Linked DNA regions of Diceros bicornis minor. The protein of the gene in region 1 purifies or fractionates together with the protein of each later gene. This does not show direct contact. Links are inferred from orthologs where the notes say so. Each region holds a gene or a part of one and is shown on either strand. Other genes may lie near its edges.

Region 1 (11,946 bases):
TATCAGGACTGTTTGAACATCCCCTCCTTGTTCCTTAGGCTTCCCCACTCTCCCCCATTGATCCACCCTGCAGCAATTCTGATCCTATTATCAACCATACTCCACACCCTCCACTGTCCACAGAATGAGGCCAAACCCTCAGCAAGCTCTAAGTCCTTCAACAACTGTCCCCTTCCTCACACTTGGGTCTCTCACAACAACTCCCATGTGCCTATTCTAGAAGTAGTTCCCAGAAAGTGCTGTTCTCACCTCTTAGCTTCTGAGGGCTCTTTCCTCTCCTTAGAAAGCACCCCCACTTCACCCCACCCCAAATTCCCCTTTTCCAGTGAGCTACACCTTCAAGCTTCAGCAGCTTTAATCTCCTTTGGGAAGTCCTCCCTCTCCCTCCCCTCCAGCCTTCCCCATCTCCATCTCCTGCCCTCCTCCAGGTCCCACCAACCCTCCACAAATGGCAGCCATTATCCTGGTGATGGTTCCATTACTATAAGGATCATTCTGAGAGATTGCATTCGTCAAATGTGAGCCCCCTGAGGGTAGGAATTGTGGCGTTTTATTTCAAGTGCTAGGTTTGTCCCAGTAAGCAATGAATAAACATTTGTTGAATGATTGCATGCAAGAACAGGGATGTTGAGCCAAGTATTAAACTACATAAAACAGGAGGAGAGGGAAGAAATTTTTCAGAGATTTAATGAAGAAAATATTTGAAATTGTCAGGGAGGGTAAAATTCCCCCTTCTATCCTTCTTGTGTTCTTACAGCTGGACTAATAATAAAATTGATATAAAAACAGATTGATAGGAGAAAAATACAATTTAATGTGTACATGTTGGAGATCATAGAGAAATGCTCAGAGAGTAAACAAAGCAGGCAATATATATATACATCTTTTGCACAAAGAAACAATAAATTTGTGAGGAATGACAGGACAAATAAACTTAGGTTTGGGGTACATAATTAGTGAGGAATTTGAGTAGAGTTTAGGCTTGAGGTAGTAAAATAGTAAAAGTAACAGGGTTTGTTTATATAGGCTTTATGGCCCTGAATTCCCTAGCTCTGGTGATAAGGATGTCTCTGCCTCCTGGTCTGGGGAGGGTACCTTTCACATGGGAGATTTAGTTCCTGCTTTCAGAGGGAAAAGAGAGAGGAGGGTCAAAATGCTTCCTTTTTTTTTTTTTGCATTGGCTGCTTCTCAAGTAACTTTAATTCAAAATAATCAACATGCCATTGTGGGATATTTTGGGGCAGCCTGCCCTGGGCCCCAACAACATAGTTGACTGGGCAGAGAGGGAACCACAGACCATGGAACTGTGACAGCACAGAGGCCTAAATAGCAGGGGTTTCTAGAGAGACAGGGGGTCATGGCTGGTGCTGGAGTGCTTATGAGGGAAAAAGGAGAGGAAGCAGGAGAGGAGGGTGCCTCACTGTAAAGGATCTGGTGTTCTGAGCCAAAGGTTTTGGGATTCAATGAAGCCTGTCAGCTGTTGCCTTTCAAACTGTAGGTCACAGGCCATCATAACATTAATTTTAGGGGTTCTTAGCCAGGATTTTTTAAGTGACATAAAATAAAGTAGAAAATAATGTATTGTATGTAGTATGAGTAAATGACGTATTGAAAACTTTTTATATGTGTATTCTGAGTCATGGGTCCAAAATGTATGGGATCCCCTGCTTTAAGCAATGGGGTGGGTACAGGAAGGGATTTCATCAGTGGGTGGGAGGAGGAAATCAGATTTGCATTTAGAAAGATCATTTGGGGTCAAGGCTTGGGAGGCCAGCTAAATCAGGGCAGCAGCAGGGAGGAAGAATGGGTAGACAGAGGTGCCATTTCCTGCCAAGGGCACTAGGGAGGGTAGCAGGTTTGGAAGTAAACAGAGAAGTGGACTTGAGGCAAGGAGAGTTTGAGTTGCCAGTAGGTCATACTTGGTGAATTCAGTCAAGGGGCTGGAATTCAGGACAGAGCTTCCAGTTGAGATACGGACTTGGGAGTTCTGTGGGATAAGGGAGGAGGCTGAAGAAGTACTGGGAGTGGGTGAAACTGTTCAGGAAGCACTCGTGAAAGAATGGGGGGGCTTCTGCTAGAAAAGTTCATCATCCCAGAGCAAACATTTAGCCACGAGACAGGACTTACCTGTGCTCAGAATACCATCCTACTCAGCACAATCCATTTCAAATACAAATTATGTATTAGAATAATGTCTGCGATCTCTGGTCTTCAATGGCCTTAAAAGTCATACAGGGGCCAGCACCATGGCTTAGCAGTTACGTGCACGCGTTCCACTACTGGGGGCCCAGGTTCGGATCCCAGGCGCACAGGGACGCACCGCTTGTCCGGCCATGCTGTGGCGGTGTCCCATATAAAGTGGAGGAAGATGGGCACAGATGTTAGCCCAGGGCCAGTCTTCCTCAGCAAAAAGAGGAGGATTGGCATGAATGTTAGCTCAGGGCTGATCTTCCTCACAAAAAAAAAAAAAGAAAAAGTTTGTTTGAGAGAATATGTACATAGACTTGTTAGCATAGACACACTCTAGGAGACCACCAAGGAGGAAAACAGGGTAGCTTCGGACCGAGATAGGAGCAAGATTTCCTCCATGCGTTTTTTTGTTATTATTTAAATTTGTACCATGTAAATGGACTGCCTACTCGATAAATAAATAAATAAATAAAAGTCAAAGCTCCCCAGATGTTTGCAATGTAGAACCAGAATTTGGGAACCTCTGATTCCAGGTACTCCTCCTTACCTCGACAGTACCTAAGACACTGGTTATATAGCTTCCTGGGCTATTTATTCCATCTTGAAAAGCTCTGGTAGTTCTGGCTTTCCTTCTTAGTGTTAAACTGAAACCTTGTAGCCTCCAAGGAGGCTCATGCTGCTTCCTGTAACCATGCAGAATAAATCCAATCCTACTACTAGCACAGTTGTGTGAAAGGAGAATGGGCACATGTAAACCATTGAATGGAAAAGGAATGTTTCTTTTTCTACAGAAAATAAGCCTAATAAATTGATGGGAAATTTTTTTTGTTGTTTTTTACTTTTTTTGTGTGTGTGAGGAAGATCAGCCCTGAACTAACATCTGCCAATCCTCTTCTTATTTGCTGAGGAAGACTGGCCCTGGGCTAACATCCATGCCCATCTTCCTCCACTTTATATGGGAGGCCGCCACAGCATGGCTTGCCAAGCGGTGCATCGGTGCGCGCCCAGGATCCTAACCAGCGAACTCCGGGCCACTGCAGCGGAGCGCGTGCACTTAACCGCTTGCACCACCGGGCGGGCCCCAATTTACTTTTGTCTTTAACAAGGGGAATACTTTCTCCAAATAAAATCTACAGGGCCCTGTGATATATAATGCAAATTTAAAAGCTGAGTTTCTGTGGCTCCCAAGGAGTGGCAGGGAGGAGCCAGGAGCCCTGCTGGGGTACCTCACTGCTTGAGAGACACAGTTGTATTCCACCTCTCTCACCACTCACAGGTAGAAACTGAGGCCTACTTCTCCCCCTCTGCATCATCTCCTCCCTAGTTCAAGTTACCACCATCTCACGGTAGGACCTTGTGATCCCCTCCAAACTGGTCTCCCCAGCTCTACCATTGCTGCTCTCTAATCAGTTCTCCACTCTGCAGCCAGGGTTATCTTTTCAAAATGTAAATGTAAACCTTTCAATTGTTTCCCATTGCCCTTGAGATAAAGTCCAAGTTCCAGAATGTTTTCTACAGCCCCTGCAGAGTCTGGGCCCTCCCCAACCTCCTCTTCTTCCACTGTTCTCTGCCACACACAGGGGACGCCTTCTAGCCTCAGAGCCTTTGCTTAGGGCCTGTCCCTCTGCCCAGAACACTCTTTCTTCCACTTTCTAAGGATTTATCCTTCTGGACACCTCCTCAGGGATTCCCTGATGTACCAGACCAGATCAGATTCCCTTCTTAAACACTCTTAAAGCATTCACACTTTTTCTTTGCAGCATGTATTCTGTCTACATGTACTGAGGGGTCCCCTGAACCAGGTAGTGGGTGGTACTATAGTAAGGAAAAGAAAGGCAGGTCCCTACCCTTTCAAGTTTATAGTCATTTGGGGGTACTCACCCTGATTAAATACTCACAGAAACAAATGTAAACATGCAGTGCCTGGAAGGTGGATGATAACAGGGGAATGTATCAGCCAGGGTGTCTGAGGGTAAAGCTTACCTGGGAAAGGTGGGTGTTAGCTGAGTGAAGTGAGTATGGCAGTGAGGAGGGCATTCCAGGCAAATCTCCAAGGAAGCACTGACCCTATCTGTTTGGACCTAGCAAACTGGTAGGCTCTCAGTAGACAATGAATGAAGGAGTGAGCAAAAATTTATTTGCCCCAAAGTAGAACCAGATTAGAACTCAGACCTTCCAATTCACAGTGCAGGGCTCTTCCCTTCCCCTAGTGCTGCTCCAGGATTTTGGAGACCATGCCTAAGTGAATGAGGAAAAGAGTTTGGTTAAATTACGCTTTTCCTTTTGCTTCCATTTCACAATTGAAGATGCCCAAACATAAAAATCACCCTCAACACTTCAGTCAACCTTTATTTTTGTGTGTCTGTGTGAGGAAGATCAGCCCTGAGCTAACATCCATGCTAATCCTCGTTTTTTGTTTTTTTTTGTTTGCTGAGGAAGACCGGCTCTGAGCTAACATCTATTGCCAATCCTCCTTTCAACTCCCCCCAAAGCCCCAGTAGATAGTTGTATGTCATAGCTGCACATCCTTCTAGTTGCTGTATGTGGGACGCGGCCTCAGCACGGCCGGAGAAGCAGTGCGTCAGTGCGCGCCCGGGATCCGAACCCGGGCCGCCAGTAGCGGAGCGTGCGCACTTAACCGCTAAGCCACGGGGCCGGCCCTCAGTCAACCTTTAAGAAGGAAAAAAAAACAATGGTTCTCTGACATTTCTTACACCAAGTTTTTATTTCAATACTTGGACTTGCTGGTGGAAATACTCCAGTATGTTAATCCACTTGGGCTGATCCCATTCAGGGAATGTCCAGCAAGGAGGGAGGGCTTTCCATTCCTTTATTTGACCGTGAAACAATTATTGACTGTATACTTACAGTGCACACACATACAAAAAGTTCAAAATGTTGACAATTGTTTCTCTGAAGATGGTAGAATTACAGATGATTTTTAAAATTACGCTTATCCGTATTTCCTAAGGCTATAATTATTTTGTATTATTTGCATAATACAAACCTTTGAAAACAAAAGCTTTTCAAACAAATATTTAATAAGTTTAATGGTAGGTCTTACGCAGAGGTAGTAGTCATAATCTCTACCAAACACCTAAAATAAATATACAATTTGGAGGCCAGCCCAGCGGTAGAGAGGTTAAGTTCACACACTCCCCTTCGGCGGCCTGGGGTTCACTGGTTTGGATCCTGGGGACAGACCTACTCACCACTCATCAAGCCATGCTGAGGCAGAATCCCACATAGAAGAGCTACAACTCTACAACTATGATATACAACTACGTACTGGGGCCTTGGCGAGAAAAAAGAAAAAGAGGAAGACTGGCAACAGATGTTAGCACAAGGCCAATCTTCCTCAAATAAATAAAGAAATATACAATCTAAATAAGCAGAGTGTCTGTTCTAAACATGCTGTCTAAAGACAAGTCCTCTTGCAGCCTGATTGCTGTACCAATGCCCCTCTACTAAAATCATTTATTCTAGGAGCTGCCACTGGAGCAGGGGATATAAAAATAAATACAGTCACCTATAAAACGGGAATAATTCCGCTCAGTGTTGTTGTAAGGATTCAATGAATTAAGACAGATAAAGCACTTGGAACAGTGGCACATAAGCACTATATAAGCGTTAGCTATTATTATATTTATGGTACTGCTAAATAGGAGCAACCAGTGGGGTACCAAAGGGTGGCAGAGAAGGAAATGATTCTGAGAAAATATAATAGGAGCTAAAATGGAAGTGCGCTAAGATTACTGAGGCCCACGGCCCAGGCCGGATTGTAGGGTCAAGTCTTGCCGTCAGCGGCTTGTGGTCGCCACAGCCTGCAGGATCTTTGATGGCCCGCTGGACAGAAGCGGTGGACAGGAGTGTTAGCGCCCGGAACTTGGGCCCTGCTGTCGGGAGGCAGAGCCCAGTCCTCGGGTCATTCAGTTCCCTCCCTCGTTATAAAACCGCGGCTGAGAGGCCCAAGGCGTAAGAGAGGGGTCCACACTACTGCACGGTTATAAGTCGAGTCACGGCTGGGTCCAGCCGGGTCCCCAGTGGCTAGCACAACCTTCTCCATCTTCCACACTCCCTCAGCCTATGGGACTCGGGACTCCCCGGCCCAACGCGGGTTGGAGGTCACCTGACCGCTGCGTGACGTGCAAACTACGCTTCCCAGCATGCAACGGGTGAAGAGGCGCCTTCCGGTCAGGCCGGAGCCTCGCAGGTTCTGCCGGGAGTTTTCATTGACCTCTGAGCTCCTTCTCGTTCCGAGCAGCTCAGGTCTCCTCTAGGCCCCGCCCCTTTCTGAGAGCTGGTGACCTCGCGGAGTCCCGCGAGCTGCTTCCTTCTTCCCCTCTCATTGGTCCAGTCTAGCTGCCATTCGGGTGCGAGGAGGAGAAGTTACTTACTGATTGGTGGATTCCGTTTGGCGCCAACTAGGAAAGGGGGCGGGGTAGTGGCGGTCCCCAGTGAGCAGCTATTACCGCGAAAGGCCACCTTGGCAGCGACAGCCAGAAGGAGGTGAAGGTCGGCTTGGTTCTCTGCAACCTCGGGCTGGGCAAGGGGGTGAGAGAAAAGCGAGCAGAGTGTGAGCCCAGGCGGTTGACTCGCGGCTCTGGCCGCTCTCCCTTCCTGACCCTCCGCGTTTGTTTGGATTTAATCTTCAGGTTGCCGGCGCCCGCCCGCCGCTGGCCTCGCGGGGTGAGAGGGGAGCACCCGTGCGTGTGGCTGGCGCCTACCTGGTCCGGACACTCGCCCGTCCGCGCCGCTTGCCCGCGGCAGCCGCGTCCCTGAACCGCGACATCGTGTTTGTGTTTGACCCGCGGGCGCCGGCTAAGGGGCGCGCGGCCGAGGCCAGTGCCGGCGGGGCGGGGCGGGCGCGGCGGAGGCGGAGGAAGAGGGAGCGGGAGCCTTGGGAGGCTGGGTGCCGCCATGGAACTGGGCCCGGAGCCCCCGCATCGCCGCCGCCTGCTCTTCGCCTGCAGCCCCCCTCCCGCGCCGCAGCCCGTCGCAAAGGCGCTGTTCGGCGCGCCAGCCGCCGGGGGCCTGTCGCCTGTCACCAACCTGACGGTCACCATGGACCAGCTGCAGGGGTTGGGCAGGTGAGGAGGGACCGGCGAGCAGTGCCGCAGGCCGCTGGCCTCCCAGACGGCTCTCGGGGAGATCAGGCCGGGAAATGGGCCAGGAGAGGGGCGAGACCTGCCGCCCGCATGAGGCGGGGGCTCACCATGTGCACCCTCCCCATAGGCGGAATGTTGGGCGGGAGAGGCCGTTCGGATCCTCCAAGACCGCCCTCAATCCCCAAGCCAGGCCCGGTAGTGGGTGAGAACGGCCACGGCTCCCCACCTTCGCCACCTCTTTCGGATTGCCCTGTACTCTTCTGTCCCTATCCCAGGAAGCTCTTTGACATCTAGCCCCACGGGGGAAAAGCAGGCCCTTCTAGGCGCTCACTTCCACCCTTTGCTGAACCACCTCACAGGATCGTAGTTTCCTGTGAGCTTTGTTCCTTCTCAACAAAGAGAAGTGGCATTTTCTTTCCTGGCGTTTGCGCAAAATCGTCGCAGTCTCTCGCCCCGTGCACATTCCTTATGTCCACCCCGGTGGTTTCCGTAATAAGGCCAGGCCTTTTTACTCAACTTTCCGTTCTCAAAAGCTCCCTAAACTTTTCCTTGTAGCAACAAATGCATCCTACAGTGTTTCTGGTGAAGCTGTTTTCCCTTCAATCTTGGACATCCCATTTTCTAAGTAAGCACGTGACTTATACGTTTTCCAACCTCTGGAAAGCAGGAATTTGTCCTATTCATCTTTCATCCCAGCTCCTAGCACAGTACCTAGAACACATGCTCTCATTTCAGGAAATACTCCAACAATCATCATAGTCATCCTGTCCTACAATGTGACCCAGGCCATGCCCACCCACTCCTTTCTCATCTCCCTTTATGCTCTAGTGCTAACTGGCGGTTCTGGGTGGCAAAGTGTTCTGTGGTGTGGCCTGGAAGTTATGATGATTGATGGCAGCCTGCCTACTAGCTAACCTCATGGCCTGTCTCCTGTGTGTAACCTTTTAATTATGTCCTAGAAATATATAGAGAGAATTATTTCTCTTGGTTTCAGTGAGTGTGAACAGCTACTGGAGGTGAAAAACAGCAGTTTGCAGAGAATGGGTTCCTCCGAGTCAACCGATTCAGGTATTCCTTTGGTCTTCGATATTTATCATGTGTCTGCTTTGTGGGAGCAATACTTGGAATTTGCTGAAACATGCCCCTTCACCTAAGAACTTAGTTTGGTGAGTAGTTGAGACAATAAACAGAGAAGTCATGGCATTGAGTGACTAATACCCTTAAGAATAGTACAAAGGAGTCCCAGTGGCAGTTTATGAAGAGAAGAAACAAGTGTCTGCTAGAAGGTGGTGTGTGTTTGGTCTTGAGGATGCGTAGTAGGGTAAAATTAACCATACCACTGTAAGTGGCATTCCAAAAATCTCATTGGTTAAAATACAGGGTCAAATTGTTGGCATCTGAAATATAATGAAATTATTTCAGTGAGCCTGCCTGCTGTGGAGGAAATTTGCCAGTGCATTTTATTCTAATTTATAAATTCATGTTACTGCAGAGTTTATCTGTATTTGCACATATGCTTTAGGTTAGGAAACTGCAAGAGCAAGTCTTCAAATGTAGGCATAAGAACTAGGGATAGGATTCTCATTTGTGGCAGTGTGGCAAGGGAGAATACCAGTCAGGAGCTAACACCTAACTTCCTGTAAGGTTATATAGACATCATGGAGGAAAGGTATGTGCTAGGCAGGCACTGGTGGGTCTGGGCCACGCTGAGCAGTGTCTCCACCCTGCTGCCTTTGGTGAGATGGTCACCTCACTTGGTGTTATTTTGTTGAAGTCAATAAATACTTGCCTTGCTTGTCAGATGACATAATTGTATTTTCCAAACCCCAACATTGTGCATATGATCAGACAAAATAAAATACTTGAAATCAAAACTATTCCAGAAAACTGGTACCTATTCTTTCCATGGTTGGAACTCACATTTAGAAAGTTACCTGGGTAACCTCTAGCTGAATAACCAAGCAATCATGAGAAGGTTTGGTTTAATTCACACTCTTGAGGGCCGGCCCCGTGGCTTAGTGGTTAAGTGCGCGCGCTCCGCTGCTGGCGGCCTGGGTTCGGATCCTGGGCGCGTACAGACACACTGCTTCTCCAGCCATGCTGAGGCTGCGTCCCACATACAGCAACTAGAAGGATGTGCAGCTATGACATACAACTGTCTACTGGGGCTTTGGGAGAAAAAAATTAATTAATTAATTCACACTCTTGATGGTATTTGCAAGGAAAGGGGGATTAGTAGATATACTATGAAAATATTAAGACTTGGGCAAATATAAAGTTTTTGACAATCAAGTAGAGATACAGCTTCAATTCTGGCAAAAGTCCAAGCCATAAGTTTCTGTTGACTGGCTTAAAGAAACAGTACTAGTAGTTTTATTTATTTGTTTATTTTAATAACAAGATGGTGTTTCATGTATTATTTCTTGAGAGATTTTTTTAATTTCCCACAGGCTTCTGTCTGGATTCTCCTGGACCCTTGGACAGTAAAGAAAAGTATATATTCACTGCTTTTAAATGTTTGTGCTTAGAAAAAACATTTCTTAATTTTTTTTTTACATTTCCATGACATTTATTTCATAACACAAAGTGTGTAGAGAAGTTACCTCTTATCCATTTTTTTTATTTATTGTGAAATTTTTGTTGTACATTATAGAAAAAAATGTTTCTTAATTTTTTAATGAAATTCTTCATGCTCTGGACTGGAACTCTAGATTTAGCTGTCCCTAGTAAGCCTCCTGGATCTATATCCTATAAACAGTCTGGTACCTTTTGAGAATGGGTAGTTTGTGTCAGCAGTTTTGAGAACTTCTCTTTCTTTATTTTAGCTTTAATTTTGGTGTTCTTTTTCAGTCTCACCCAAACCCTTGCTCCACCTTCTGACATCATAGCCTTAAAATGAGCGTATTTTTTTGTGTGTGTGTGAGGAAGATCAGCCCTGTGCTAACATCTGCCAATCCTCCTTTTTTTTTTTTTTTTGCTTAGGAAGACTGGCCCTGGGCTAACATCCATGCCCATCTTCGTCCACTTTATATGGGACACTGCCACAGCATGGTTTGCCAAGCGGTGCGTCGGTGCGCGCCCGGGATCCGAACCCATGAACCCCGGGCCGCTGCAGCGGAGTGCTCGCACTTAACCGCTCGCGCCACCCAGCCGGCCGCAAAAATGAGCGTATTTTAAGAGAAGACCTGGGCTTGCCTTTTTCGCCTAGAAGCCCAGCGTTGGGGGTGCTCGTGAGAACAGGACAGCTTCAAAAATCTGTTTTTTCATCTTGCCTAAAATGGGAATATATTTGTCTCCCCTACCCCCACAAAGTATAGGTTAGACACTATGCATCTGCTAATGTGAAAACCTCTTTATTTGTTTCATTCTCATTATTTACCTTCTGATCTCATTGCAGCCTTGAAAATCCCATGAAGAGAATAAATTCCCTGCCTGTAAGTTAGTTCCCTTTTTTGTTTTGAGCTAATACCTATTATCTACCCCTTACCTACCACTGTGACCTTGATAGTAGACTGTAATTTAGACAGTGAAGATTAAGGAAAACCTAGCCTTGTAAGCAGTCAAAACACTGTACCTAAAGCAACTTCAATAATGGCTGCCTCTTGAGGGCTTTTGCTCCATCTCTAACACAGTTTTGTCAAACCAGGAGGGGTTCTTTCTGTGCAAATGATGTTATTTTGGGGTTGATTTGACACCCTAAATCCCTGTTGAGAGGGCTGTAGATGTTGTGAGGTTAGGCGTAAAGCCATGTGGTGAGAACTGTGTTCTGGCAAGGTGGAGCCCTGGCACATTTACTGGTTACCTGCTGCAGTGTGTGAGGAGCTAGTCCCCCCCCCCACCATCTTTTTTTTCTTGTTGTTTTCCTTTAGAGAACTGAGTTTCCATTGAACTTTTGTTTATGTACCCTAATTCCTTTTTTCACTTTGATAGCAGAAGCTCTTGGGGTGTAGCCCAGCGCTGAAGAGGAGCCATTCCGATTCTCTTGATCATGATGTCTTTCAGCTGATCGACCAGGATGACAACAAGGAAAACGTGAGTGTGGCATCAATATACTAACCTAGGGCAGAGGAAAAGCCCACAAGTGTCAGTGGCTCACAGAGAAGTGGCTGGGCTGCTTTCTAAACCTTCACCAAAGTCATGATGGTCTTTGGAGTCAGAGAAACTTGCGTTTGGATCCTACTGCTGACTAGCTATGTGATCTTGGCAAGTTATTTCTTTTTTTAGGCTTCTTTGTTTCTTTATTTGTAAAATAGGAGTAGCAGTACCTTGTAGGGCTGTTATGGGAGTTAAATAAGATAATGTAGATAAAGCATTTCAAATCCTTCCTGGCAGGTAGGAGTTGCTCAGATAGTAGTTATTGTATCCATGAGTAGTTCATCTGGAAAGGTCTGCCCAGGCCTTCCTTGCTTCTTTGTGCTGACCCTGGGATGAGTTGTAAGCTTACAAAAACACTTCTTGACAGTATTTGAAAGAACAGGGCCAACAAGTCCCAGGGAATCTCAGAGTAACTGAAATGGTAGCTCAGAGGGTGAGCTTGTGGTTGTCGATCCAAAAGTCCAAGAACACCCTGGCCCGACTTTGCTCTCACACCTGGCAGGGTGCCTTGCACAGGGTAGGCATCCAAAATAGCTAAATGAATTAGCTCAAC
Region 2 (11,550 bases), on another chromosome or scaffold:
AAGATTAGGAGCAGGGCATTGAGGGTACTTGAATACCAGGTTACAAGTTAACCACAGACCTGTTAGGTAATCATATGAGGGTTAATTGTCTAGCCCTGAAAAAGCATCAGGTGAAGTTACACTGACTGATACTTTTCAAATGCCTTCCTTCACGTAGAGTTTCTCATTGTGGAGTTGCCTCGATTTTCCAGAGGAGCAGGATAGGAATGCCTAATATGGAAGACTGCAAATTGTCCAGTGGGCTGGACACTGACTGGCCTAGGAATAAGACCCTCCACCATAGCTGTGATCTAAGGGCCAGTCGCTTATTCTCTGACTTAGAATGATGGGTTTTGGATCCAACGAATGTGAGATGATCCCTTGCAGTCCTATGAAATCAAGGCAATAGTCCTAAATTAATCCAAGGGAACCATTAGAGTCACCTATTTAGTCAACAGATGCCTAATATATATAAAACAGTGGATGAAACAAAGAGGTCTGATATGGCCTCTGCCCTTACAGGGAGGCAATCGTTACTGAGCATATAAAAACATGTAAAAAAGAATGAAGAGATACATGCTGGGAGAAAAGTAAATGTAATATCGTTCTGAGTTCAGAAGCAGAAGAAAACTCTTTCTCCTAGGAGATTCAAAAAACCTTTACGGAGGAGAGGGCATACATTGTTAATCAGGAAAAATCAGTGGATTTAGCTATGATTTTGAAGCTTGACTTGTCCATATCCTGGCTATGTGACAAATCTGCTAAAACTCTGAGTTTCAGGTTCCTCAGCTAGGAGCATCACAGAGTTTTTGGATGATCAACGGCACTTTTCATCTACTCCCACCTCTGACTCCACCAAACAGCTGACTGTAAAGTACAGTTGGGCACCAAGGCAAGACTTAAATTGTGCTTTCAAGTTTCTGCTCTGTACTGTACCCCATGTTACTCAGCTCCAGTCTTTAGAGTCTCAAGCTACTCAGCCTTCTGGAAAGACTACTCACTACACAAAGACTGCCTATTGTGCAGAGTAACCCTGGGAGTGGATTGTGGAAGAGAATCCTACTCCAACTTCCAGGACTAGCATGAGCCCTCTCTCATTCTCCATCACTTTCTCTCAGGCCTCCTCTTTTATTACTTGCACTTCCTCTTCTTCTTTCCCTTTTATCTGCCTCCATCTTCATGCCATCACTTAACTTTGCAAACTGAAAGTCCTTTGAGGACTAAAATGAGGCTTTGTAACCAAGTTCCCCTTGCTAGACTGCTATAATTAATCACAATAAATAGAGCCTCAGTGCTGAGGAGACGTTTTTGCATGAGAGCCAATTCAAGAAAAATTTAAATACATACAGACCACATTCTAAATATAACAGTTTTTCACTATCTTCTCAAGTACTAATTCTTTAACACTCTTACCTCTGTAAACCAATTTGCATGTCCCAACGCCCACACACATACACCTCTAAAGATTTAAAGATTCTTAAATTTCAAAAGGAAGAAAGCACAGCAAGAGATGGAGAGACAGTCTCCTTTGCTTGATACCTGGAGCCAACCATGCCTCAAGCTAGGTACTCCTTGGACTTGTCAGTTTTGGGAGCAAATAAATTTCCTTTGTTACGTAATCCAGTTGGAGTTGGGTTCTTATCACCTGCAACAAAAAGTCCTTATAATAGTTATGATGCTAATGAAGTTCTTTGTCCTCTTAACCAAAGTCACCCTGCCCATAAGAGATGAAAAAGGGAAGAAAATAAAGGGCTGATGGGAGAAGGAACTCTGTCTAATGTTATCATATTGTAATAATTTATCTTCATATCTGTAAGAATGTGAGCACCTTAAAAGCAGGTAACCCTAGGCACAGTGTGTAAAACATAGTTAAAGCTCAAAAAGTATTTATTGATTGAATAAACTTGATTTATTCACAATTTAAAAAAAAAAGATTTAAGGGCCAGCCCCTTGGCATAGCAGTTAAGTGCGCACACTCCGCTGCTGGCGGCCCGGGTTCGGATCCGGGGTGCGCACCAATGCACCGCTTGTCAGGCCATGCTGAGGCCACGTCCCATATAAAGTAGAGGACGATGGGCATGGATTTCGGCCTCAGGGCCAATCTTCCTCAGCAAAAAGAGGAGGATTGGCAAGGATGTTAGCTCAGGGCTGATCTTCCTCACACACCAAAAAAAAGATTTAAAGATTCTTTTGAAATCTATGTACTCTTACGTGTACATAGAACGTTCTTCAAGGATACCCAAGAACTCTTCAATACATTTTTGGTTGTGGAGGAGGACTTACTCTTTATGGTATAACCTCCTTGACTGTTAGATGTAGCATCTAAAACCTAAAAAAAAAAAACAGCAAAGCTACCATCAACAATTCAAGGAACAGAGGTAAGAGGTTAAAGTATATACCAGCTCTACAAATGGGACAGTCAGTGTATATGATTGAAGAAGTTATTTCACGATGTTTCTCTATATCCTGGGTCTTCTTTTTCAACTCCTGTTTCTATCTCCATTTTAGTGTGAATGTCCCTGATTTTCAGTCAACACAATCAACCACTCCCCATCTTTAACTTCATTTTTTTCAGTTACATATGTGCATAGTTTTAAGTTAGTTCTTTAAATCTTATAACAAAATCAGCACACCTCTGATCAGCAGCCCATTCCTGCTGTCCAAAAGGAACCATTTTCTATTCTTTTAACTGTGTGATTCACTGTTTACAGTCATAATTCTCAATAATGTCCTTATACTGCTATTTTTTGGTTATACAGTTTTAAAAATTACCCACTAACTTCTTACAATGGAAGATGAGGGTTTAGCTCTTTTATACCACCACCAGCACACATGTACACTCATATATATCCCTCTCTCTCCCCACTCTCTCAATACAGTTGAATCATAATTTTTGGTTAAATCAGTATTCAGTGTTTCCATTACTGTGACTGTATGATTTACCATAGTGCCCTATGTACCCTATTGTGATTACATTTCCCTTTTTTCTTTTAACAACTTTTAGTTTGCTCCAGATTTAATACTGCCTTGTTTATTTTCATTTGCCTAGTTTTTTTATGCCTATCACTAATTTATCTCCAACTCTACCAGAAGTGTAAATCTCTTCTCAGTACGCTCAAATACATCAGGTAATTTATCAACTTCATTGTTTCGCTTGGCGATGTCCCACTTAGAGCCAACCATCCCTGTCAATCTCCAGCGTGCACTGACTGCTCTCTATGCCTACTGAAAGGTGCCAGCCTAGGATCATCCAAGTCTTGACAATTTCCTTTGCCCCTCTTCTGTGTTGGAACTACTGTTTCTTAGATCCCACATCTTCCTCTTTTTTCATTTTCATCCTTGTTTTGGGAGACTACACACTCCAATAACTTCCTAAGAAAGGGTACACAGGAGATAATTTTTTAGACTTTGTAAATCTGAAAATGCCTTTATTCTACCTCATGGTTGTTTCGTGGTTTGGCTTGGTACAGAATTATAAACTGAAAATCATTTTCCCTCAGAATCTTCTAGCTTTCAACATTGCTGTTGAAAGTCCAATTCCTTTCTGATTCTGGATCCTTTGTATGCTGATTTTGTTTCCTTTTAGGGTCTTCCCATTATTCTTAATGTCATATGCCAGCACAGTGTGCCATGGGATGAGTCTTTTGTTCACTTATTGTGCAGGGCACTCAGACGCAGTTCGGAAAACTCATGTTGTTCACTTCTGGGAAGTTTTCTTATATTATTTCTTTAATAATCTCCTCCCTGCATTTTCTCTGGTCTTTTTTTCTGGAACTCCTATTAGTTGTATACCAGACCTTGTAGGATGATCCTCTAATTTTCTTATCTTTTCTATAGTCCATCTTTTCGCCTTTTTTCTGGGAAATTTCCTTGACTTTCTCTTCCAAACTTGCTATTGCATTTTTAATTTTTGCTATCATATTTTTAATTTCCTAAAGCTCTTTTTTTTTTTTTTTTGGTGAGGAACATCCACCCTGAGTTAACATCTGTTGCCAATCCTCCTCCATTTTGTATGTGGGTCGCCTCCACAGCATGGCTTGACAAGTGGCATAGGTCCACACCCCGGATCCAAACCCGTGAACCCAGGCCCCCAAAGTGGAGGGCACCGAACTTAACCACTATGCCACTGGGTCAGCCCCTCCTAGAGCTCTTTGTTAAACTTGCTTCTGGATGCATTCTTATCTTTTATTTCTCTGATGATATAGATGGTAACTTATTTTTATTTCTTAGCTTTCTACTTTTAGAATTGCCTGTTACCTTGGAGTTTCTTTTTATGTTTGTTTGTTTTGGTCTTTTTCTTTCAAGTTGGAGGATTTCCTCAAATGTCTGGTGCTCCCTAGATGGCTATTAATAGTTAAGAGTAAGACACTAAAATATTGATTAGAAGCTCTGTGTCAGTCTGTAAGCATGTCAAGTACTGAGCATCACTTTAAGAGTGACTCAGCCTTTTCACTGGACACTCTAACCATCAATATTTTTAAGACTTTTCTCTTGGGCTGGTCCATTCCACAGAGAAGCATGCTCTTGTCTCATTTAGGAGGATATAAATTCAGCTGCCTGCATTTAGGGGACTGAGTGGGCGAAGAGAACTGGAGGTTTCACCATTTGGTATGAAGAATTTTACTTCATCTGAACTCCAGAGTTCTTTTCGTTTGGCCTCTCCAGAACATAAAATAAACCTCCAGTCATCTGCCAGGACCAGGAAGAGGCTGCACTTTCACTGTGCGCAGATGTGCAGGAGGGAATCGACTAAGCCTCTTTCCAGCTCCACCGACACCAATTTCATAGGTTCCTGGTGCCTCCAATTCCTGAGACTCGATGGAGTCTATTGCATGAACCAGCTTGCTTCCTGGCTTTCCACCGCTAGCTTAGATTTCAACTTTCTTGGGCTGTCTGATACTTCTATTACGATTCTTCAATGTGCTTTCCTGCCTCCAAAATGTTGTCGGTATTGTCTCCTCACCCATCCTTGAGAGTTTTGCAGTTTTTTTTTAAATCCCTTTACTGTCTTCAGGAAAAAGAGAGAGAGAGAAATGTGCATATTCAATCTGCCATGTTAAACCACTATACCCTCTGTGAAACACTGCCTTCCCTTTTCTGAGACACCACTATTTGGTCTCCCACCTCTCTGGTGTTCTTGCCCAATTTTCTTAACTGGCTTCTCCTGCTCTGTACAATCTTTACATATGAAGGGCCCCAGGGGTTGCTCCTGGGCATCTACTCTTCTTTACAGTTCTCTAGATGACCTCATGTGTGTGAGGGTTTAAATACTATCTAGAGCAAAAGGAGGCTTTAGCTCTCACCCTGACCTCTGCCTAGTGAACCTCTCCTCTTGCATATCTCTAAGCATTCCAAAAGTAGCAGAATTTATCATTTCCTATCTAAACCTGCTACCCCCTAAAAGCTGCTCATCTCTTAGTCTTCTCTGTTTGTTACTCAAGCCAAAACTTCAGTCATCCTTGATTCCTTTTTCGCTCACTCCAAGCATGCAAACCATCAAGATCCAGCAAGTCTACCTCCAAAATATATCCAGAACCCATCCCTTTCTGTCTAGCACTACTAGTACCATCCAAGCCATCATCTTTTGCCTGGCCTCCCACAATAGCCTCTTAATGGCTCCCCTTGCTTCTCTCCTCCTGCTTCCCCTCCACCTCCCCACCTACACACATTCTCTCCACAATGACTAAGGTAATCTTTTTGCAAAACAGATTATGCCACACCTTGGCTTAAAACCCTGAACGTGGCTTCCACTGCACTTATGATACCCCAGACCCCTTAGCTTGGTCTACAAGGACTTATATAATATTACCCTCTCCAATCTCTTTAATCTCATCTCTACTCTCCCCTCTGCCCTATATTCAAGCCACACTGGCTTTTCTGAACATGACAAGCTCATTCCTATCATTGGGTTTTCACAGACTCCTTCCTCTATCCGAAATGTTCTCCTTGTCATTTAAGCCTCAATTTAAATGTCACCTTCTCAGACCATCCCTGACCACCAAGTCTAAGTTCGAAATTATTTTCAAATAAAAAGCTAAAACAAAAAGATTGGCTTTGGTAAACAATTTGAGAAGTAATCTGGCAGGTTAAGAACCTGACAATATTCTTGAGACAATTAGTGTTGTGGAAATATCACAGATCCGGAAAAAAAAAACAAACCTAAGTTTGGTCCCTGTGTTACTAATGTGTGATCTTGGGAAAGCCACCCAAAGCCTCTCCGAGCTTCAGTTCCTCCACCCGAGTGTTGGAATGATCAAACGAAAGAAGGTACATATATAAAAGCCTTTCCTCTGTAGTAAAGTGTGTAACAATAAGTAGGACTAGAGCCATAACACGTTCTCACTTTCACAAACTGCGGCTGCTCCACTGTCACTTTCCCGAGATACAAGGCCGTCCCCTTGGCTAGCTCGGGGGGCACACAAACTTGCCTCTCCAGGAGGCCCACACGCGCACCACTCGCCTATCCAGGTGCCAGCAGCAGCTGCGCGAGAGCGCAGGCGCAGAGCCAGGCCACGTGAGGGCCTGGCCAGGCTCCCCGGGGCCGCAGCCTCGCTCTGGCCCGGCCCCCTCTCGAACCACTTCGCGGGATCTCCATGGAAACGCATTCTCGCAGGAACCGGCAGCCGCCAATGGGAAGGGAGCGAGTGCCGCGAACAGCCCAATAAGGAGGGAGCGGCGCGGGGTTTAAACCTGAGGCCGGCCCGGCTCCTCCTGGCGTGCTGCGCAGGAACGGCTGTTGGTCGGTGGTGGGTTCAGGTTCCTGGCTCGTCGGGGGCTCCGTTGCTCTGCTTCTCCCCACTGAGCTGCTGCCTGGTGAAGAGGAAGCCATGGCGCTCCGGGTCACCAGGGTGAGCTGCTGCGGACGGTGAACAAACGCGGCCTTACTGGTGCGCTGCGTGTCCTCGCCCTATCTCGCCTTCCGGAGGCTCCCCCCCGCCCTCGGCAGGAGCGGACCCAGGCAGCGATCTGGGGAGGTGGAGGGGGGTCGGTGGGCCTCTGGCATGGTGGGGGAGTTTGGGGGACGTACGGACAGAGAGAGGAAGGTGAGAAAGAGAACTGGACGGGCCTTGGATAAATGTTGGGGAGGCAAGTGGAGGGTTGACGGGAAACCAGGGCCCCTGAGTGAGCTCCCACCGATTGCTTAACCCCCTTCCCGGAACGAAGGTGCCTGCAGTTGAAGGTTTTTCGGTTTTCTTTCAGATGTAAATTCGTGGTATTTTAGGGCCGGCGGGGACTAAACCTCGATGGGTGAAAGAAGAAGTTCTGGGAGGAAACTAACTTGTCACAGCCATAGCGTAGACCCTGGGACCCCGGTTTCCCTTGGACCCATTTGCAGCCGCCTTTCCTTCCGAGAGCCTCTCTCTTGTCCCACCTTAATTAACCCTTGACTCACTCTAACCTGGCTGGGCCAGCTCTCAAAGTGCTCTTGCTTCTTTCAGAACACGAAAATTAATACTGAAAACAAGGCGAAGGTCAGTATGGCAGGCGCAAAGCGCGTGCCTGTGGCAACTGCTGCAGCCTCCAAGCCCGGGCTGAGGCCAAGAACAGCTCTTGGAGACATAGGTAACAAAGTGAGTGAGCAGCCGCAGGCCAGACTGCCTCTGAAAAAGGTAACTATCTCCCGATTCAACTTACCTGAGTCCACCTTCTAACTGTGACTCTTGATGGAGGAACATTCCATTCTCTCCTTTTCATCCACAGGAAGCAAAAACTTTAACTGCTGGAAAAGTTATTGCTAAAAAACTACCAAAACCACTGGAAAAGGCGCCCGTGCCTGTGCCAGAGCCGGAGCCCGAGCCTGAGCCAGAACCCGAACCTGAGCCTGTTAAAGAAGAAAAACATTCTCCCGAGCCTATTTTGGTAAACTTATTGTGCCAGTTTAGAATCTGTTGATTGTTTGTTGCCCCTCGTTTTACTAATGCATGGAATAGCATTTAAATAAATACTAAAAATTGTAACATTTATCCAGTGCTTAGCAGGAGGTAGTTTCTGCTAAGGGCCTTACATGCATTGACATAATCTTATACTCTCTTACCTAGTATTATTACCTCTACTTTTTTTAGATAGTGGTTTAGAAAAGTATTAAGTATCTTTTCAAGGGTCACACATCTAATCAGTGGCACATATTGGATTCAAAACCTGGCTGTCTGGCCTCAGAACCTGTGCTTTTAATCGTTTTGTTCTATTGCCCCTCCTTCGTTAATGGTATTGAGTAGTAGCTGCCTGGACCAGTGATTTTGCTGTCTTTGGTACAAGCCATCACTGTCCAATATTTGTTGACTGAAACACAAATTATTCTCTTGAATCTTTTTTTCTCCCTAATATGACCACTGAATAATTAATAAGCCTGTAACATTGCAATATATAAAGATGTAAAGCAGAAAGAAAGTGTAGCTCTTCAGAGAACAGGTAAGAAGATGAGTTAATGTGTAGCCTCAAAAACTAAGAACTTTTTATTAACTATCAGGTATGTAAATATATCTACTCCTGTGAAGGAAAATCAGACCATCTAAAAGAGGCTACTTTGCTGAAGTTGCAGTGAACTACATTCTGAAGCTCTAATTTTAAAAACTTAGTTAAAACTTCTTGGGAAAATATCTGTAAAAGTCATTCAGCCTAGCTCCTTATATCTGAGGGTAGGAGATTTGAGGCTATTGCTTTAGTATTGACCTTCTGGACATAGCACATGAAACCTGTAGCATGCAGTCTTTAATTGGCCATACCAAACCACCTGAGGTTTCCTTGAAAGTCCCATACTGATTCTTGCCTTGGCTTTCCCACTTATTAAAAATGCCTTTCCCACCTTCTGTCTCTTTTAGCTAATAACCTTTGCATCCTGCAAAACAGCTCAAGCATCAATTCCTGAAACTCCCTAACTTCCCCCAACCCCACCCTTGTTCCTAGAATCAGTCTCCTTACTTCATTTACTTATTTCTTCTAAATTCAAAGCCCCTTGAGGACACCATAAAGCCAGTGCCTAGCACAGAGCTTGACTTGAAGAAAGTGTTCCATAAATGTTTGAACAATGGGGTGACTGGAGCTTGAAGAAAATGGTTAATGGTGATGAAGTCAGTTAATCCTTGGTAGAACTTATGTTCTCCTGAGCAGTGAGAAGCAGTCCATGTTTTCACAGAAAGTCTAAAGACTGACTTGTCATTCCTTTGGATTAACTTCACATGTTGCTGATAAACAGATTAACTACTTATCAGTTTCCTTTGGAGGAAAGTCTAGAATATGAATTTGCTTCTCTGTTTTACCTGTTAGTGTTTAGGTTCTGTTCTCTTCAAATTGGCTCAGTCTAAGTTGGCATTTCAGTTTTCATATTAATCACTTCCTAAAGAGAAATTGAATACATTTGAAAAGAAGATCCTTTTCCATTAAGGAAATGAATTACATGTCTGTTCAGCAGATGGTCTCTTGAGTTGGTACCAGTAATCTGACCTTCATGCCCAGATTGGATGCTCTTGCTATTATTTCAGAAGGTCTCTCTGTTTCAAGGTTGATACTCCCTCTCCAAGCCCAATGGAAACATCTGGATGTGCCCCTGCAGAAGAATATCTGTGTCAGGCTTTCTCTGATGTAATTCTTGCAGTGAATGATGTGGATGCAGAAGATGGAGCCGATCCAAACCTTTGTAGTGAATATGTGAAAGATATCTATGCTTATCTGAGACAACTTGAGGTCAGTATTATTAGTCTTTGTTTTTTCTAAAGTGCACCTAGCTTTATTAAAGATATTTCCATTAACAGTTTACAATAGTTCAAGGATGACGTGAGCAGCATTTCTTAACAGTAGATTTCACTTTCAAAATCTCCTTCATAGAATACCAAACATAAAAAGTTGCTAAACAGACCAATGAAGTCTTTATTTTCCATTTTGAACAGGGAGATTTCCAAGTGAGAGCAGATACTACTATGGCTCTTTGTAATGGAAAGTCCGCAGATTGAAGGATATATTTATATCCATCACAGTTAGGAGCCAGCAAGTCCCAAACATTGGGTTTAAGAAGGCTAACAGGCAGGAGGTGGATGGTAGTGCAGAAGATGCTGAAAAATTACAGCCAACCCCAACACATGGCATTTTGAGTGAATGTGGCTGATGGGTGTGCCATATCAGGGAAATTGTTGTTTGTGTCCAAGAGGAATTTTCTTCCATTTCATCCCACTTCTGAAACTTTCTATTAGTGGCATTTGCCCTTTCCCCCCAAAACTAAGGAAGCATTCTGTATGCTAACAACATGAGCTATACAGTTACTAAATTGACCCAATTGTTGGTTTATAATGCATTCTCTTCTCTTGGCATCATTAACATCTTCAGTTTCTTGCCTGGTTCTTTTGGGGATCTCCATTTTCTACAGGATTGTCCTGCAAGAAGACTTCTTTGCCAGGACCTGCTTTGGGTTTCTTCTCCCTTTTTAAAGTTTGTGTTCTAACTGTGGAGGAGTGGGCTTAGCAGATGTATGTGCTGGTCCTTGATGGTTCATTCTTCTCTATCTGTGGTGTTTTTGGGGTTTAAACCCTGGAGCAGGAGAGTGGTAACACATTAGGTTCCAGCTGATCTGGGAGCTGCTGCTATTTTCTCTACTTCATAAAGCTCAGGTTCTGGGTTTAGAGTCTTAAGTGAAAAGATCTGAGATGATAGTATGGCATCTTTATTTGGGAAGAAGTGAGTGCGGCGTGTGGGCCAGTAGCAGTGATGGTTAATTGAACATAGATTTGCCAATATGAAAAACCTGTCACATTTTCCTATTTAATGTTGGCTTTCTTCCTCAGTGATAGAGCTGTTTATAGTGACCATATGAATAATTAAGCTTAGAACTATTAGAGATTCTAAATGCTCCACAGCTATTCTGTAGTGACTGATATTTTTGGTCAGAAATGTCACGTGGAGTCTTGCTTCTAAGGATAATCCAGCTTTTTTTTTTTTTTTTTTTTTGCAGGAAGAGCAAGCAGTCAGACCAAAATACCTACTTGGTCGTGAAGTCACTGGAAACATGAGAGCCATCCTAATTGACTGGCTAGTGCAGGTTCAAATGAAATTCAGGTTACTGCAGGAGACCATGTACATGACTGTTTCCATTATTGATCGGTTCATGCAGGTGAGCATAATTCAGTAATTGAGGGTTCTTCCTTCCAGGGTCCTAGCATAGTCAGAAGAAACAGATGTTTTCAGCTAAAATCTGTCTTGGTGGAGAGGGTGTCATTAACTGAGATTTTGTTATGGGAGTAGGTCTTTCCCACCTCTCATTCATAGCTCTGTGTCTCCTTTTTCAAATACGTGTTACTTAATCAAGGTGAAATTCCCATTGCAGAATAATTGTGTGCCTAAGAAGATGCTGCAGCTGGTTGGTGTCACTGCCATGTTTATTGCAAGCAAATATGAAGAAATGTACCCTCCAGAAATTGGTGACTTTGCCTTTGTGACTGACAACACTTACACTAAGCACCAAATCAGACAGATGGAAATGAAGATTCTAAGAGCTTTAAATTTTGGTCTGGGTCGCCCTCTACCCTTGCATTTCCTTCGGAGAGCGTCTAAGATTGGAGAGGTACAGATTTCTTGAGAAATCTT

The links.
Region 2: the proteins of CDC25A (region 1) and CCNB1 purify together in Homo sapiens (affinity purification with mass spectrometry; 3 studies listed by BioGRID, with this or other methods). This does not show direct contact. The link is inferred for Diceros bicornis minor from reciprocal best matches to the Homo sapiens genes CDC25A and CCNB1.

What each region holds. Positions count from the first base shown.
Region 1 is NC_080741.1:49,425,754-49,437,699, reverse strand, and holds the start of CDC25A (M-phase inducer phosphatase 1), read left to right. Parts: upstream 1-6,663; 5' UTR 6,664-7,110; coding exon 7,111-7,280; intron 7,281-8,292; coding exon 8,293-8,366; intron 8,367-9,748; coding exon 9,749-9,791; intron 9,792-10,695; coding exon 10,696-10,732; intron 10,733-11,228; coding exon 11,229-11,330; intron 11,331-11,946. UniProt on the Homo sapiens protein: Tyrosine protein phosphatase which functions as a dosage-dependent inducer of mitotic progression. Directly dephosphorylates CDK1 and stimulates its kinase activity. Also dephosphorylates CDK2 in complex with cyclin-E, in vitro.
Region 2 is NC_080759.1:8,347,853-8,359,402, reverse strand, and holds the start of CCNB1 (G2/mitotic-specific cyclin-B1), read left to right. Parts: upstream 1-6,694; 5' UTR 6,695-6,806; coding exon 6,807-6,827; exon of another isoform or gene 6,828-6,866; intron 6,867-7,418; coding exon 7,419-7,589; intron 7,590-7,680; coding exon 7,681-7,839; intron 7,840-9,477; coding exon 9,478-9,660; intron 9,661-10,918; coding exon 10,919-11,077; intron 11,078-11,290; coding exon 11,291-11,527; intron 11,528-11,550. UniProt on the Homo sapiens protein: Essential for the control of the cell cycle at the G2/M (mitosis) transition.